Stegostoma tigrinum: one gene and its partner. The protein of the gene in region 2 purifies or fractionates together with the protein of the main gene of each other region. This does not show direct contact. Links are inferred from orthologs where the notes say so. Each region holds a gene or a part of one and is shown on either strand. Other genes may lie near its edges.

Region 1 (7,594 bases), on a different chromosome or scaffold from region 2:
CCAAAACACGTCCTACTACATCAGCAGACTCAATCCACGAACTGTAGGCCTACACCATCCAAAGTCTTCATTGAGGCACTGGATACAGGCAAGCAGCAATGGCCAGCTATGTTTCAAAACTGCATTTATCCCCAGTGGTGAGCTTATATTCTTGAGGCCCCAAAGTATCCAAACTATCTAGTAGGGAGGGGAAGGTGGATAGTTACAGTGCAGGGAACCACAAGCATAGAAAGGCTGATTGAAACTACTGTTTAGCTGCTAATAGTTTTTAACCTGTGTTTAATTTAATAGTGTATTTAAGTACTGTTTTCTGTATAGTTGATAGTTTTAATTTTACTGTTATGTGTTTTTATTTCTTATAATGTACTCAACCTTTGTATTTAATAAACACAGAGATTCTTTTTGCCCCTAAAACGCCCGATGACTGCCTTCATTTCACATTCTCAAACTAAGTCCAGTGTCAGAAACAAGGATCTGACAGTAATATGAACCACCTAAAAATCAACAGATTACTGATCGCAAACCAGAATCCCTACAAAACTCTTCTTTACGTTCCACTAAGAGGTCAAATGGGGCCTCAGCAATAAGACAGCATTGCTGTCGGTGTTATACTTCCTGAGCCAAAGCCTTAAACTCAAATCTCCGGGATGAGAGTTGAACTCACAACCTCCTGACTCACCTTGAGCTGAAGAAGAAACGATCTCCTCTAGAAGATAGGATTTTTTTAAAAAAGGACCAGCTGCCTTCAAGCTACTGAGATGAGAACAAATAAATGTAGAATTATAGCATAGAACCTTTGCAATGGTCAGCTTGATGGGCCAATGGGCACTAAATTTAAATGGGTAGCCTCTACTAGGGTCTTCCAGTGCTGATTTCTCTGTAATGGCTTCTGCCAGTGTAGGCTGCTTCTGTGAGGCCCACTGCATCCTTCTGAGGATTATAATCCTAATACTGTTTGGCGTACTCACTTCCTGAAGAAGTCAGTTTAATGATTCAAGAACCTCCATATAGGGGTCCCATCAGTAGCAGTGGCTTTATGGGGTTGAGGACAGTGTGAGACATAACTCACACTTCCCTCTTTAAAAACTCACCAAAATTCAATTCAAGACCAAGCTTGGTATATTGAGTACCAGTGGAGCTCCAGACTTTGAGTCAGTCTGACTCGTTTATATCAGAGGCCCTTTTTTGCAGAATCTTTCCAATGCCTTTTGTCCCCGTACAAACATTTAACATGTTAAATTGTTCTCTCATTTTAGGAAACAGATCTATATCTCATTCTTTACTCACTCAGCAACAATACATTAGCTTGCTACCCACCACATGTAAGAAATAATTTCTCTTTTGTAATCTGGGTGACCAACATTTGTAATCATACTGTTGCTCATCATATACCTGTCTAACTGATCAGTTCCAAATGACAAGCTTCAACCTATTTTCTGCACAAATTAATGATTTAATTGACTGCAATAGCTTACTGTACTGACCATTGTGCATTGCTCAAAACAAGACAGCACATTGTCATTAGTGAAGAATTTACACAATGCACACACAGGGGCGACTGAGTCATAAGGATCAGCTATTAATTATTAAGTACATGACAGTTTCCTGGATTTTGGATTTTGCATGCAGCAGGAAGTGTCTGACATCTCAAACAAACTGCATATGAATCAACTGAAAGCCTATCCATTTCAAACAAAATAGAGAGATTGTCATAAAGGGTTTTCCAAATCATGATCTGTATGCCCATGTGTTCCATGCCAGTCTGTAGAACAAGAAAACTCCCCTCTTTTTTTTTTGTTTCTTAGGCGGAAGGATACAAACTGTCTGAGCCAGACAAGGCCGTTGTCTGACCAATGTGGCAAATGCCTCCAGATGCTACTGGAAGAGTCCATAAACAAAAACTGTTCAAGACTCTGGTGTTATAGCTTGGTACTGAAAATGCTGTTCTCCAATGGAAGTGTCTTTAGCCTCCTCCGCCAACATGCTTCCACAAGTAATACTCGTGTTTCCCTAAGTATTAAAAGGAGGCAATGGCCTAGTGGTATTATGGCTAGATTATCAATCCAGAAACTCAGTTTATATTCTGGGGACCCAGGTTCAAAACCTGCCATGACAGATGATGGAATTTAAATTCAATGAAGAATCTAGAATTAAGACTCTAATGTCGACCATGAAAACATTGTTGGAGAAAACCCATTTGAATCACTACTGTCCTTCAAGGAAGGAAATATATTGTCCTTACCTGGTCTGGCCTACAGGTGATTCAAAACTGACAGCAATGTGGATGACCCTCAACTTCCCTCAGGGCAATTAGGGATGGGTAATAACTGCTGGCTTAGTCACAGATTCCCATATCCGTGAATGAATAGACAAAGTACCTATAAATGTAAGTAAAGACTCCTGACAACCCCAGGATTGAAATATAGAGAATATGTCTTTGCTCTTCTAAATCTCGGCTATGGGTAATTTTTTTTTGAAAATCAACATGCTATGAGACAGCAAGTGGGGCTTGAACCCATAACTTGTGTAGTGAGACGTGGGAACAATACCTCTGCCCCACAAGACCACGTTAAATGAAATTAAAGTATAGCATTTTTAGTGCAAAGTTAAACTCTTCTACAATGACTTTAATCAGCGTATTTGGACATGTTATGACACATCTCCATGGCCACAATACAACACACTTTGTGCAGACTAATTATGGTAGAAAAGTCCTGAAAGAACTTCCTGTGATTTGTCTGATTAAAGTCAATGCATAACTGCTTGCACAATCTGGCTGTTTTTAAACTTTCAAATTTTGTTTATTTTTACCAACGGGAATCAGGTTAATTTGTTTGATGTTTACCATTAGCCATTTGAAAGGCTGTTGTTGCATTGCATTTAATGCTACACTGAGCAAAGGGTGAAAGCAAACTATTAACATTGTTTCAGGAAATTGAGAACTGTATTCCATAATATTTCTAATTCAGAATAGGGAAATTCAGTATTTAATGGTCTATCAAAGGACCACAGGTAATGAATTCCCTTGCTCTTTCTCAAAGGTTACAAACGATTCTGTCAATCAAATCCACTATCCCATTCTGGGGTCTTTGATCTGTACTAACGTTGCTTTGAAATCATACTGTGTCAAAAGGCTGTGTTTCCCGTATTCACTTGGAATTGCTGCTGCTCATTAGTAGCACTAGCCAATTGGCAACTTCATTTCCTATTGTCTGTAACCATTGCAATTCAAGTTTGCAACAAGCCAGCTTGTTTGGATTTGAACTTGTCTTAGCTTTTGAGAAATCCTGCATGGATCTCTGATATTAACCCTTCACAAGTTATTTAATGAAGGCATTAAACATTTACCAAGCAAAATGTAGTGTTGCTGTGTTATGGCCACAATTTCAATCCCTCTACAGAAGAGGTTGCTCTTATAGAATTCCAATGACTTAACTAAAGTTGGACCAGCTCTGACCGAGTGGATTTAGTGGAATTAAATGAAATGAAGATTAATTTTTACTTAGCAGGTAGATGTCAATATGAACTGGGTGAGTTGAACGGCCTTTCAACATATGTGAGTTTATGTGACAATTAATTCAAACCCCCCAAATCCCCAAAGTCACCACCCCTCCCCCCACCCCATCCCACACTGTGCAGACCAGGCATGCTAAACGATGTCATACTGAACAAATGTGAACTCAAGCCAAGCTATGCACTTAGCCTGATTTAGTCAGTATATTATGGCTTTGTTTTTTTATCAGGTTAGAGAGAAATGCCAACATCACAGTACCGTCTGTTCATTATCATATTGCTTCTTATTGTGAGTTTGATGTCTGCAATGCTTTCGACTTTACAACAATGGCTTCACTACAAAAGTATTTTATTGACTGTTTTGGGATAACTGGTGGTCATGAATGATGTTACATAAATGCAAGTCTTTATTTGAAGACACTACTTGAAAGCTGCTTCTTTGGCAAAGCCTTCGATCATTCGTCCTAATGGGTTGTTATCGGATCTCTCCTGTAGCTATTTAGTTCGAAATAGGTTCAGTTTTGTTTTCGCCTTCTATGAACTCTCTATTTTATCTCAGGCGTTCAACACGTTGCATTAAAACATGGGTTTCGACTCGAGTCTGGGTCCTAACCTCAGAGAGCTGTTACAAATAGAAAACCATGCAGCCAGAGCTCCTGTTTGTTTGATTTGAACTTGCAGTAAATGGGGCTTCATACCAGTAACATCATCCATATCACCTTTGTCGTTCATTGTTTTTGGAATGCTCTAAGACAAATCTCCTCTCAACTTGAGACAGCGCTTACGTGTCTTCAGGTCTGTCACAGGAAGCCAACCCGTGTCCTCCATGAATTTCACTGCCTATTTGCTCATTGTAATCTCTTGATCCCATCAATGATACATCTAATGATACTCCCTTTCTTGCAATTCTCTCTCGCTGGGATTCCCCCTTTCCCTGGGACTCCCCCTCTCTCTACACCTCCCCCTTTCTCCCCATCCCCATTGAGCAGTTGGAAGCCCCACCTCCTCTGACCTCGCCCCATGACGGCTATCCCCGCACCAGGACAGGAATAGGCCACTTTCACCCGCGCCACGAATGCTGGGATAGAGCTGTCTCCATATCTCCCGGAGAGCGGCGCTGAGAGGAGGCAGAGCGACAAGGAAGCGGCTCGGACACCGAGCTCTGCAGGAAGCAAGCGGAGCGACACCAACGCCCAGCAGTCTCCTAGTGGCCATAGAGCTGAGAGAGAGAGAGAGAGGCTGAGGGTGCAGCAGTTCGTGGAAACCAGTAAGTCGTACGCTTTGGCTGAATGATGACCACGGGTCAGGAACTAAAAGAGACTGAGCAAGAAGCCCAGGCTACGGAACTGGACCAGATAGCCGAGGACCTGACACCCAACCAAGACAGGGGGGTGCTTAAGGTAACAAATACAGGCATTTTCTCCGGACATTGAGAGAGAGAGAGAGTCGGACTTTCAGATGTATGGCTTTCATTGAAAAATCATCATTCATTTTAAAATTAACATAAAAGTTAGACTGCCCGTCTCAGAAAGTGACTAAAAATTAAATGAAGCAAATTCTAGACTATTTATTCACATTATATTGTAACTTTATCTGTCATAAACTATTTTGTTTCAATAGTGCAGCAGTGGTTGTCTAGCTAGTCCCATCTCAAAAACTGTTTCTGCTGTGGTTGGATCAGAAACGTACTAAATACGACCTTTTATATTATACATAGCCTACCCGCTTCGTGTGACTAAACCCACTCTGATTGGCACATTCTGTATGTCAAATAGATCAAATGTAGATTTTTTTAAACTCCATGTTTACAATTTCTTTCTCCATAAACTATTGAATGCCCACTCCGTTGTGTCCCTGACCGCTTTATGTTAACGTAAAGCCGAGACATTCCAGCCAATCACAATCGGGAAGTTTCACCGAAGTCTGGGGTGTTACTGAAATGTGAAACGAGAACTAGAGGTGATCGATGTTATTTTGATTTAATTCCGCTCCGAACAGCCCCTACTGTTTAAGACAGTCGCAGGTCCCCGGGCCCATTTGCGAAGCTGTGTGTACAGTCTGCACTCAGGAACCATTCCCAATTCCTCATGACACTGACATTCGCTGCAGATTGCTCTCTGGCCAGAGTCAGCGGTTCATCGAATTTTTTTCTGTCCCAACCGCCACTCTCTCCTTTCACCTCTTTCCAGCCCACTTTGGAGACTGCACTCAGAGCCTCCTCCTGTTTACTCTGGACTCCCGATCGCCAATTGAAACTCCAACTTTGTCCATTTAATGCATAGTGCTCTGAAGAAGGGTCACTGGACCCGAAACGTTAACTCTGTTTCTCTCTCCACAGATACTGCCGGATCTGCTGAGTCTTTCCAACAATTTCTGTTTTTACTTCAGGGCGTATGCACGATGAAGGACCTTTAATGTACGTACAGCATTCAAGCTGTCATCGCAGGTCCAGATGCGGAACCAGAGAGTAGTTTTGTTTTGAAGTGAACCCCAGCATTAGCCCCCGGCACCCCTCCCACCCCAGCCTATCCTCAGACTTTCCTCTTGAACTCCGGCTACAGCTCTCAAAGCCCTGGCTTTCTCGCATCACATGAACAGCACAGAGATGCGCGCCAGTTCAGGGAAGTGCGATATTTGTGGGGAGGAAGGAGTTGCACGCTGACATTACCAGAGAGAACAGAGTAAACCAGTTAGAGTGGAGCTGTTGAACTTACAGATTTGTTTGGTCGCTGTGTCTTCTACGGCTGGGGTCGCTCAGTGTTGCTGTTGAGTCCTACCTCCCTATAGACGTCAATGTGGTGGAGATTTGATGTCTCACCGACGATGACACGATTGTGTTACCTTTGGGTTTCACAGTACCTTGTACTCCATTTAGCTCTCTCAGTAATTCATCTCACTTCTGTTTTTACCCCGATGTCAATATTCAAGGTTTCATTTGTTGCTGTTATTCCAAGATTGTTGATGCCAGTAGGATTATTTTCAATAAGAGTGCTGGCATGTTTTGGGTAATTCTGGATCTGAGTGAATAAACAGTCTTAATGCCTCAGTATGTTTTTCTCGAACCTCAGTTCAATAATCGTATAGTGAGTGAAGCTGATACCAGGTAGAGTTTTATCATCAGTTTAAACATGTTTTTTTTCTCCATCTTGAATTAACTAACCATCTCAAATATCAACCTGCAAAACTCAGGTATGCCCTGTGCCTGACAAAGTGAATCTGATTAGTGATGACTTATGGCTCATGTGTCCATCTGACATCTTTCCATTGTTATTTAATGAGATTTAATTGTTGTTCTGGTAATCATTCCAAATTGCACCTGCCCTGACTTCAAAATGTCCCAAAACAATTTTGAAAGAGTGTGTCTCACTATAGCAATGTATTAAAATCAATTGCCAATTTGTACAGCGCAAACATTCACAACCAACAATGCGATAATGACTAGATAATCTAGTTTAGGTGTTGACTGTGGGATAAATGCCTGCTTGAACATGAGGGACACCTGCCCTCACTCTTTGAAATAATGCATCCTGTCTGGAGATTCACTCCACTGGTACTACTACTGAAAGTCAGCATTCATAATATAACATCCTGGGGTGGGAAGTGAAACCTCGATTGTCCAACTCAGAGGTAAGTTTGCAACTAAGGCCGAACGAAAGTTTCAGAGTAACTTCCAGTCAGCACCTGATTCATTTCTGTGTTTTGTATGTCTGAGTTCCTGTGGTGGTGGGGCAAAATCCCCTCCTGTGGCTCTCTCAAAGTTTCTTGAACAATTCTTTTTTTTTAGTGCTGTGCTGTTTTCATTGTACATTCTGAGTTGCTGTTCAGTTTTATATATATAGCATTTCTTTTATATAAAAGTTGCATACTCATTTTACATTTCCATCATTGACTGTCTTTAACTCTCTTCCAGCTTGAAATGTTGTGGTCCTTTTCAAAGAAATGATCCCTTTTGAACATTACTTTTCTCCACATGTTATCAATATTTAAGATTGATGCAGATTTTGTTCTTGTTATGCTTTCAGAGCAATAGATCATAGTCATGTTCTTAGCTATTGAGACGTAGTGTGGAAACAGACCATTC
Region 2 (7,608 bases):
TAATCACAAGCACTCAATATTTCATCGTGGATGTTTTGTCTTATATTGTGGTTACTGTTTGGGGATCTGTAGATTAGCCCACAAGTGACTTATTTTCCCTAATATTTCTCAGATTCAGCCAAACCAAATCCACACCTATTCCCCTGAGCCAAAGCTATCTTTAACAATTGAATCAATACTTTGATTAGGAATAGTACACTTCTGCGTAACATTGCATTCTTCTTGAATACCGTAATTTTCAATAATCTGAAACCAATGCTTGTCAACCTGCAGCCACATTTCCAAAGTGGCTTTCAGATCATATTTATTCACTTCAATGTGCACTCTCAACTCATTTAATTTGTTATTACACATATTCAAGTATAGAACATTTAGATTTTTTGTTATCTTTGCAGCACCTTGTCCTAACTACAAGTATAATATTGGGTTTTCCCTCTCCTTCTCCATTCTTGCCTTGATTTTTGAGGTTATTATTTTGTTTAACTGCCACAACTCTACCCTTGATTTGTTACATTTACCGAAGCCTGATCCCTCACTGCCCTGGCCCTCACATCCTTAGTTATGTGAGCACACCAGATCCAGCATGATCCAGGTATGGACCATCTTAGCAATACAAATCCCACTTTTCCCCAGTACTGGTGGCAGTGTTCCATGGACTGGAATCCATTGTTTCCACACTAGTCTTTGAGTCACACATTCACTTCTATAATTTTGTTCATTTTTTGCTACTTTTCATGTGGTTTGGGAAATAATCCAGATATTATCATCTTTAAAGTTCTGCTTTGTAATTTAGCATCTAACTTCTCATACTCCCTTAGCAGAACCTCTTTTTAATTCTACTTATGCCAAGTAGTAGTCTAAAGGATTACTAAATCCTCGCTCCCACTGTAATTTTTTTTCTCCAGAGCAGGTATCTTGAACCCTGGCACTTCAGAAAATACAGTCAATGACAGTCATGCTCATTGTTGCATAGAAAAGTGTATGACCCTTCAGTATCCTGTCCTCAACTATCACTATGTTATTTTTCTTCTCCTCTCTTAAATGGCTTCCTATACCATGATGCTGTAGCCATTTAATGCATTCATCCTGCTGTCCTCCGTCATTCAAAAATAGCTAAGAAAACCCTAAACCTGTTACACAATGGCAAAGGTTGAGACTCCAGCTCACCAGGTCCCTTACCTGCCTCACTTTCAGTCACACTGTCCTGTCCCTGACTTCTGACTTAATCAGAAGGTCACCTCTTGAATAAACTATCCAAGGAACTTTCCCTGTCCCTGATATGATGCAGCGCCTGAAGCTCACCTTCCAGCTCAATAACTGAATTGAAGTTCATGCAGCCACAGCACTTATTGCAGATGAGTTAACCCTGGATCGTATTAGCACTCAGAAGTTCCTTGTATTCTGCAATTACAGTACAACATTAGCTCTGCCACATCTAAAGTGTTAGTTAATTAGTGATTGCTAATTAACTCATTTATAATTAAGACATTATAATTCTCCCCGTGTCTGCGTGGGTTTCCTCCGGGTGCTCCGGTTTCCTCCCACAGTCCAAAGATGTGCAGGCTAGGTGGATTGGCCATGCTAAATTGCCCGTAGTGTTCAAGGGAGTGTGGGTTATATGGGGATGCGTCTCGATGGGATGCTTCAAGTGGCGGTGTGGACTTGTTGGGCCGAAGGGCCTGCTTCCACACTGTAGGGAATCTAATCTAATCTCCTAAAAAGTATTAACCCTGCCAGTAAACTTTGCAAACAGTGACAAAACAATACAATACTTACAATTCTACTCATTTGTGCTGCTTAAACTATGAAATCAACTGCTGTAGGGTGAAAAGTAATAAAAAGACCTCTTCCCCACGCTTCACCAAGCTCCCAACTAAACATAGATAATGGGAACTGCAGATGCTGGAGAATCCAAGATAATAAAGTGTGAAGCTGGATGAACACAGCAGGCCAAGCAGCATCTCAGGAGCACAAAAGCTGATGTTTCGGGTCTAGACCCTTCATCAGAGCTCTGTCTCATGCAGACAAAAACTGCCCCACATTGACTGTGTTTCTTTACTTACCTCTATGTGGCACTGCATAAATCTAAAATTGTATAAAACTATCTGTTCTAGCCAAGTCATATATCTCCTCTGCTTACTTGAAAGAGAAAAAGATACATGTAGTGCAACAAGAAAACTAATAGAGCAACCATAGGAAGACTACTCAGACTATTTGAAACAAATCAAGTGTATTATTTCATAGTAGAAAGTGGAATTAGTTTATCATTCTCCACACTATGTGACACTTGTGCAGCTTATCTATTTATGTTAGAAGTATGTGGAAGAAACATATTTACTTATTTAACAACAATTGGTAAGGAAATTTGTGAAGGAAACTAATCAGTAATAGTTAAATTCACCAAATTTTCATTTTGTCTATAATTTTAAAAGTCTTGACAGTTAAGTCTAGTATCAGCAAAATTGATTGTTATGCTGTTGATTTTCTTTCTAATATTCCAACAAGTTCATAAATGTTATTTATGGTAGTGATCTCCTGCATTAACTAGTTAAACACTTTATGAAATAAACTGCAAATCACTCAGAGGTTAATTTCAACAAGAAATGGGAAATAAGTACCGATCTGTGATTCCAACATTTCCAGCACATTCCGTTTTTAATTTCTTTCAGTGACTAAATGCAGACATCTTTCACATCCAAGCACCCATTCCATGTAACTATGTAACTTCTGCCATTGTAAGGAATGTCATATAAGTTTCAATGGTGTGTTATAAAGACATACAAGGCTAGATATTTAATGTTTATGGTTAAAAATAAATTGGGTATACTATTGTAAATAGTAGCAGAGTAGCACAACCCCACTAGTCTGTAAAAAAAAAATTGTGATAAAGTGATCTCATTACTGAAAACTTAAGACAGTTATAATGAAAGAAGACTATTTGTCCATTCTATAATATGGACAAATAATACACATTTTAACCATTAGAGGGAATAGTCTGCAAAAATCTGGTCTTGGTTTCAAAAATAAACACTTGGATAGCCAGAATAAACACCAATCTACCAATGGCACATGTTAGGAAGGTACTTGTCGCGTTCAAATATCTAATAAAAAATCCTTTTGAAAAACGGACCTTAATAAAACACAGAAATGATAGATGTCCTTCCAGATCGAGTCAGTTTTGCAACCTGATTTATAGAAATAACTATTTAGGTTTGTCCTTGTTCACTAAAAATATCATAGTAGTAGAAAAATTATTGATAAACAAGGGACATATTACTGGAACTAAGATTTACGCCCTGACCTTTTAGTAGTCAATATTGATTTCAATTTCTATTTGCTATTTTTGAATTGTGATGTTAATGCAACAATACTTACGATTTAGGCTTATTGTGCATTTCCTGTTTGAAAACTAAACTTTTTAGGATTTTTTTTACAGTTTATTTCTGCTTTGTTCCCACTCAGCTATCTTTTTTTATCACATAGTTAGTGAACACAACATCAACTACTGATCTAGGTATCCAATACGATAAAGGGAAAGTAAACCCTCTAATCTCACTTGATGTTTGTTAAGTTCAAACTTGTACACAATAACTTTGCACTTATAACCAAAGTCAAATATGCTTATATTTGTCTCATAAATGACATTATGTCACATAATGATATTTATGTCTCATTATTTATGTAGGTATATATACCAACGGGGTTTCACTCAAACCTTGTGTATAAATACAATTATAAAATTATATATAATTATTTATAAATATATTTATGTCATAAATATCATTTATGTCTCTCAGTATTGTAGGATGCATTTACATTACATGCTTAGTGTTGATGTAATGCAGTTTCCACTTGATGCACTGAATACTGACGCTAATCAGAATTAAATACAATAAAGAATGAAAGCCTAGCATGATTCTAAATTGATGCTTTTTGAAGGAGGACATTTCAGTTTTCTTGCAATCAGCAGCAGGCTAGACCTTTGTAATCAGAGGCCCCTGCTCTGAACTTTCACCACAGCAACGGTGATGGGAAATGAAATACAACCCTCTTCCCCCTTATTTAAGTATAAACGTTCGCATAGCGTCAATCGCACCTTTCGAATGGCCACCTTTCAGTTCAAATTCTACCGGTTCGTTCTCAGTTATCATTAGTGAGCGTCATGAACATATTTTGATTTTAGAACAGTTGCAGAATGTACTAACGAATCTCAAAAAGCGGCAAGAAATTTCCATTAGTCGCTGGGTTTTTATTGTGATGTGGCCACACATTGAAATCTCCGCCAGCATATTTTACGAGTGAAGAATTTTGCATTGGTGGTCAAGGTGCAAATTGTGGCAGATTGAACTGAAGTGAACAACAGCCTACACCGACAGTGAACTTTCTTCTGCTGCTGTTTTCAGAGCTTTTTGCAACAATTTCAATCGCGCATCTATCTCGCGAGAGCTGGCGCACTGCCTCCCTCCCTTTGATTGACAACCAAGATGTCGGTGGAGAAAGAGCTCCCCGGTGCAAGCTGTTGGGAACGGCGACAAAAAACACCTGCAGCAGTAGCGCGCAGCTCTTCGTAGCATCAGCAGCACAAGCTGTTTTATTGAGCAAGGCCACTGTCTCCAGTCCGTTTCTATCCAGCCGCATGGAGCCAATTTGAAACACATCTTCAATCCATTCAAGATTTATTATTCAACATTGCTGCTCTATAATAAAATATTTCTTTTTCTCAATTTCAATTGATTTCCAGCCATGGATGAAGACAATACGGCAAAGAGCGAAGAACAGCAGCTAACTTTGCAGAAAGCATTACAGCAATGTGAATTGGTCCAAAATATGATAGACATCAGCATCTCAAGTCTGGAAGGGTTAAGGACTAAATGTGCCACATCAAATGACCTCACGCAAAAAGAAATAAGAACGCTGGAGGTAAGGAAAATAACGATAACAATGAATTGACATATTCCCCCCTCCTCTTCACCCCCACCCCCCAAATTTGCTTGTATCCGCATTGAATTTTAAATAAAATGATGTAAGCTTGATATCTAAAGAAGGCTGCATGCGTTTTAGGTGACTGCTGTATTTTGTTTATATACAATGGTGTTTGCAGTGTTATAAATTAAGGAGCTGCAGCAGAATGAAGCGAGTCTGCGCATTCTGCAGGTGGTGGAAAGGTGGTGGGTTCTGTGTTAAAAATGTTGGGATTATTCATTTATTTATTTACGCTCATTTGGAAATAACTGAATACATGACATTTCGAGAAATCCTGAGTTGCATGTTTTGCATCGATGGTTCTTGATAAGGATGTGATACCAGCTGAATAATAAAGACGCTGATTTAAGAGAACTGACACTTATTATCTACGTGCGGCTCAGTATGAATTGCAAAGCGTTACATGGCCATAATGAATTATATATGGTAAGATATTTATGGGGCTCCTTGTCCGTTTACGGACCTGTCATTAACGGATAGAGATGTTAGCTCCCTGACGTCTTTCCATATCTAATACACATCGTGTCTAGGACCAGTCACACTGATGGTGCCTCCGTAGGTGGGGAATTTTTCGGCTCTTAACTTCACAGGGATTCAAATGACTGCGCTGTTAAAGTCTGACTTATTTCTGTACTTCTGAATCATAATGGTCGGTTCAAGTTTATGCTCGTTTTAAGTTGTGAACTGAAATGCTTCAAAATTCTCATTAAAAATACACGATTTTCATTCTAAAGACCGGTTTAAAGATTAACTTTAGGCTTTCTACAAATGATTATTCTCGAAATACAGACATGCAGGTAGCACCTGGAATGGAAATTAACGTTTTATTTTCAGACCAGCGTATTGATGTTCTCACTCGCATTATCTTGGGGACTACATATAATATTGCAGATTGCATGTTCCTGAAGCCTGCACCAATATTTGACGCGGATTGCTTTACAGTATTTCCAGCAGTGCTACATTTCTGGGCATACATTTCTGCGCTTTGTCATGCTGGAGAAAGGTACTTGATAGCAACAAAGCAACGGTAGCGTTAAACGTAATTCCAGAAAGTGCATCAGTCTGGATGTTGAAGTTTCCCAAGGTACGCAGAGGTTAACACAACGCCTGGCTCCTCGTTTGACTGGCGACACCTACCGTTCACCCTGCATCCTGAAGAAGCTGCAAAACAGCATTGAGCTTCTGGGCACAACCGTCCGAATGAAATCCTGGATAGCGCGTCATGACTTGAAAGCAATTTCATTGTAATAATCTGCAAAATTAACTATCTGAACTAACCTGTGGAAGGCGATAGGCATTAATTGACTTGAACTGTTCCTGTTACACCTCTTACCCGAAGGACGGGAACATGACTGACCAGAAATTGATAACTTGTTTCGTACCTTAAACCTAAATAATTATTTTTCTGATTGATAAATTCATATATTTAATATCAGGTGTTACAAAGCAATTAGAAACGCTATTTTTCCACGTTAGATTTCGTTGAAAGAAAATACCTTGTTAGACTTGGATTTGTTGTCTTAAAAATGCAGTGTATTTGAAAATTAAGCTTACCAAATCTTGTATTGGACCCCTCATTAATCTTAAATTATCATAGTCTTATATCAGTACAAATACATCTGGAAATATCATCTTTATATTTCAGAAAACAGTAACAGGTGAAAAGTATTTTGCTGAACTATTGTTGATGAGCTAGGAGCAAATTACTGCAGATACTGGAATCTGAACTGAAACCAAAAATGCTGGAGATCACAGCGGGTCAGGCAGCCGTTAGAGAGCAGGTTGACGTTTTGAGTCGACATCACTTCTTCAGCTCTGAAGACTCATCTAGTGTCGGAACGTCAGCTTGCTTTCTCTCCATGGATGCTACCTGACCCACTGTGATCGCTAGTAGCTTCTATTGTTTTCAGTGTTGAAAATGAGCTGTTAAGGTTGGGGTAGTTTTGAAACTGTTCGCTAAACAGTCAGCAATCTTTTTATTTCCACTTTTGGTCAACAGTAGCAGAAGCGATGAGAAAGTTCAGGAATTAATGGTAGTTGACCTAAAACGTGGAGTATGTAACAATTTTCCACATGCAAATTAAAGCATTTGCTGCTCGTTACTTCGAACCTCGACTGTGAGAGCCTTCCCTTAAGGCTTGAATGTGTAATAAAATGCGGTTAGAAGCAAGTTGTGTTGCCCACGCTTTTTTAAAAAAAACTTTGTAGCCGAAGTTCCCAACCTCGTATCAGGCAGATATGTATGTGAGTTAAAATGATGCAATAAGGCTACGTCCTGTCACAGTTCCAATGGCATACAACCTTTAAAGAATGTCAAATTGCAATAGAGAGCTACTCTACGATAAATTAGCACGACAGCCCGATCACAGAGCTTTAAATATTGCCATCATTTTAAGATGTTCTAAGAGCATTGTTTTGCATCCTTCTAAGATTTCCAGTGTCAGGTGTAAAATTGGGTCCTAACTGGCTATTTTCATGTGGCTTGCAGGGCCACATAGAATTAGTGCCAACGAAGTGCTATCATTCTTATGGATAGGTGGACATGCAGATCAAAATTATAATTAATGTGTTACTCTTATTTAGTGTGATGTAGTAGCCCATAGGCATTGTGTATTAGGGTGACAA

Evidence for each region. Proteins that work in one complex are often made in the same cells at the same time.
Region 1: the proteins of ksr2 (region 2) and peptidyl-prolyl cis-trans isomerase FKBP5-like purify together in Homo sapiens (affinity purification with mass spectrometry; 3 studies listed by BioGRID and IntAct, with this or other methods). This does not show direct contact. The link is inferred for Stegostoma tigrinum from reciprocal best matches to the Homo sapiens genes KSR2 and FKBP5.

What each region holds. Positions count from the first base shown.
Region 1 is NC_081374.1:42,890,176-42,897,769, reverse strand, and holds the start of peptidyl-prolyl cis-trans isomerase FKBP5-like, read left to right. Parts: upstream 1-4,580; 5' UTR 4,581-4,802; coding exon 4,803-4,913; intron 4,914-7,594. UniProt on the Homo sapiens protein: Immunophilin protein with PPIase and co-chaperone activities. Component of unligated steroid receptors heterocomplexes through interaction with heat-shock protein 90 (HSP90).
Region 2 is NC_081379.1:34,739,269-34,746,876, forward strand, and holds the start of ksr2 (kinase suppressor of Ras 2), read left to right. Parts: upstream 1-4,523; 5' UTR 4,524-4,743; coding exon 4,744-4,920; intron 4,921-7,608. UniProt on the Homo sapiens protein: Location-regulated scaffold connecting MEK to RAF. Has very low protein kinase activity and can phosphorylate MAP2K1 at several Ser and Thr residues with very low efficiency (in vitro).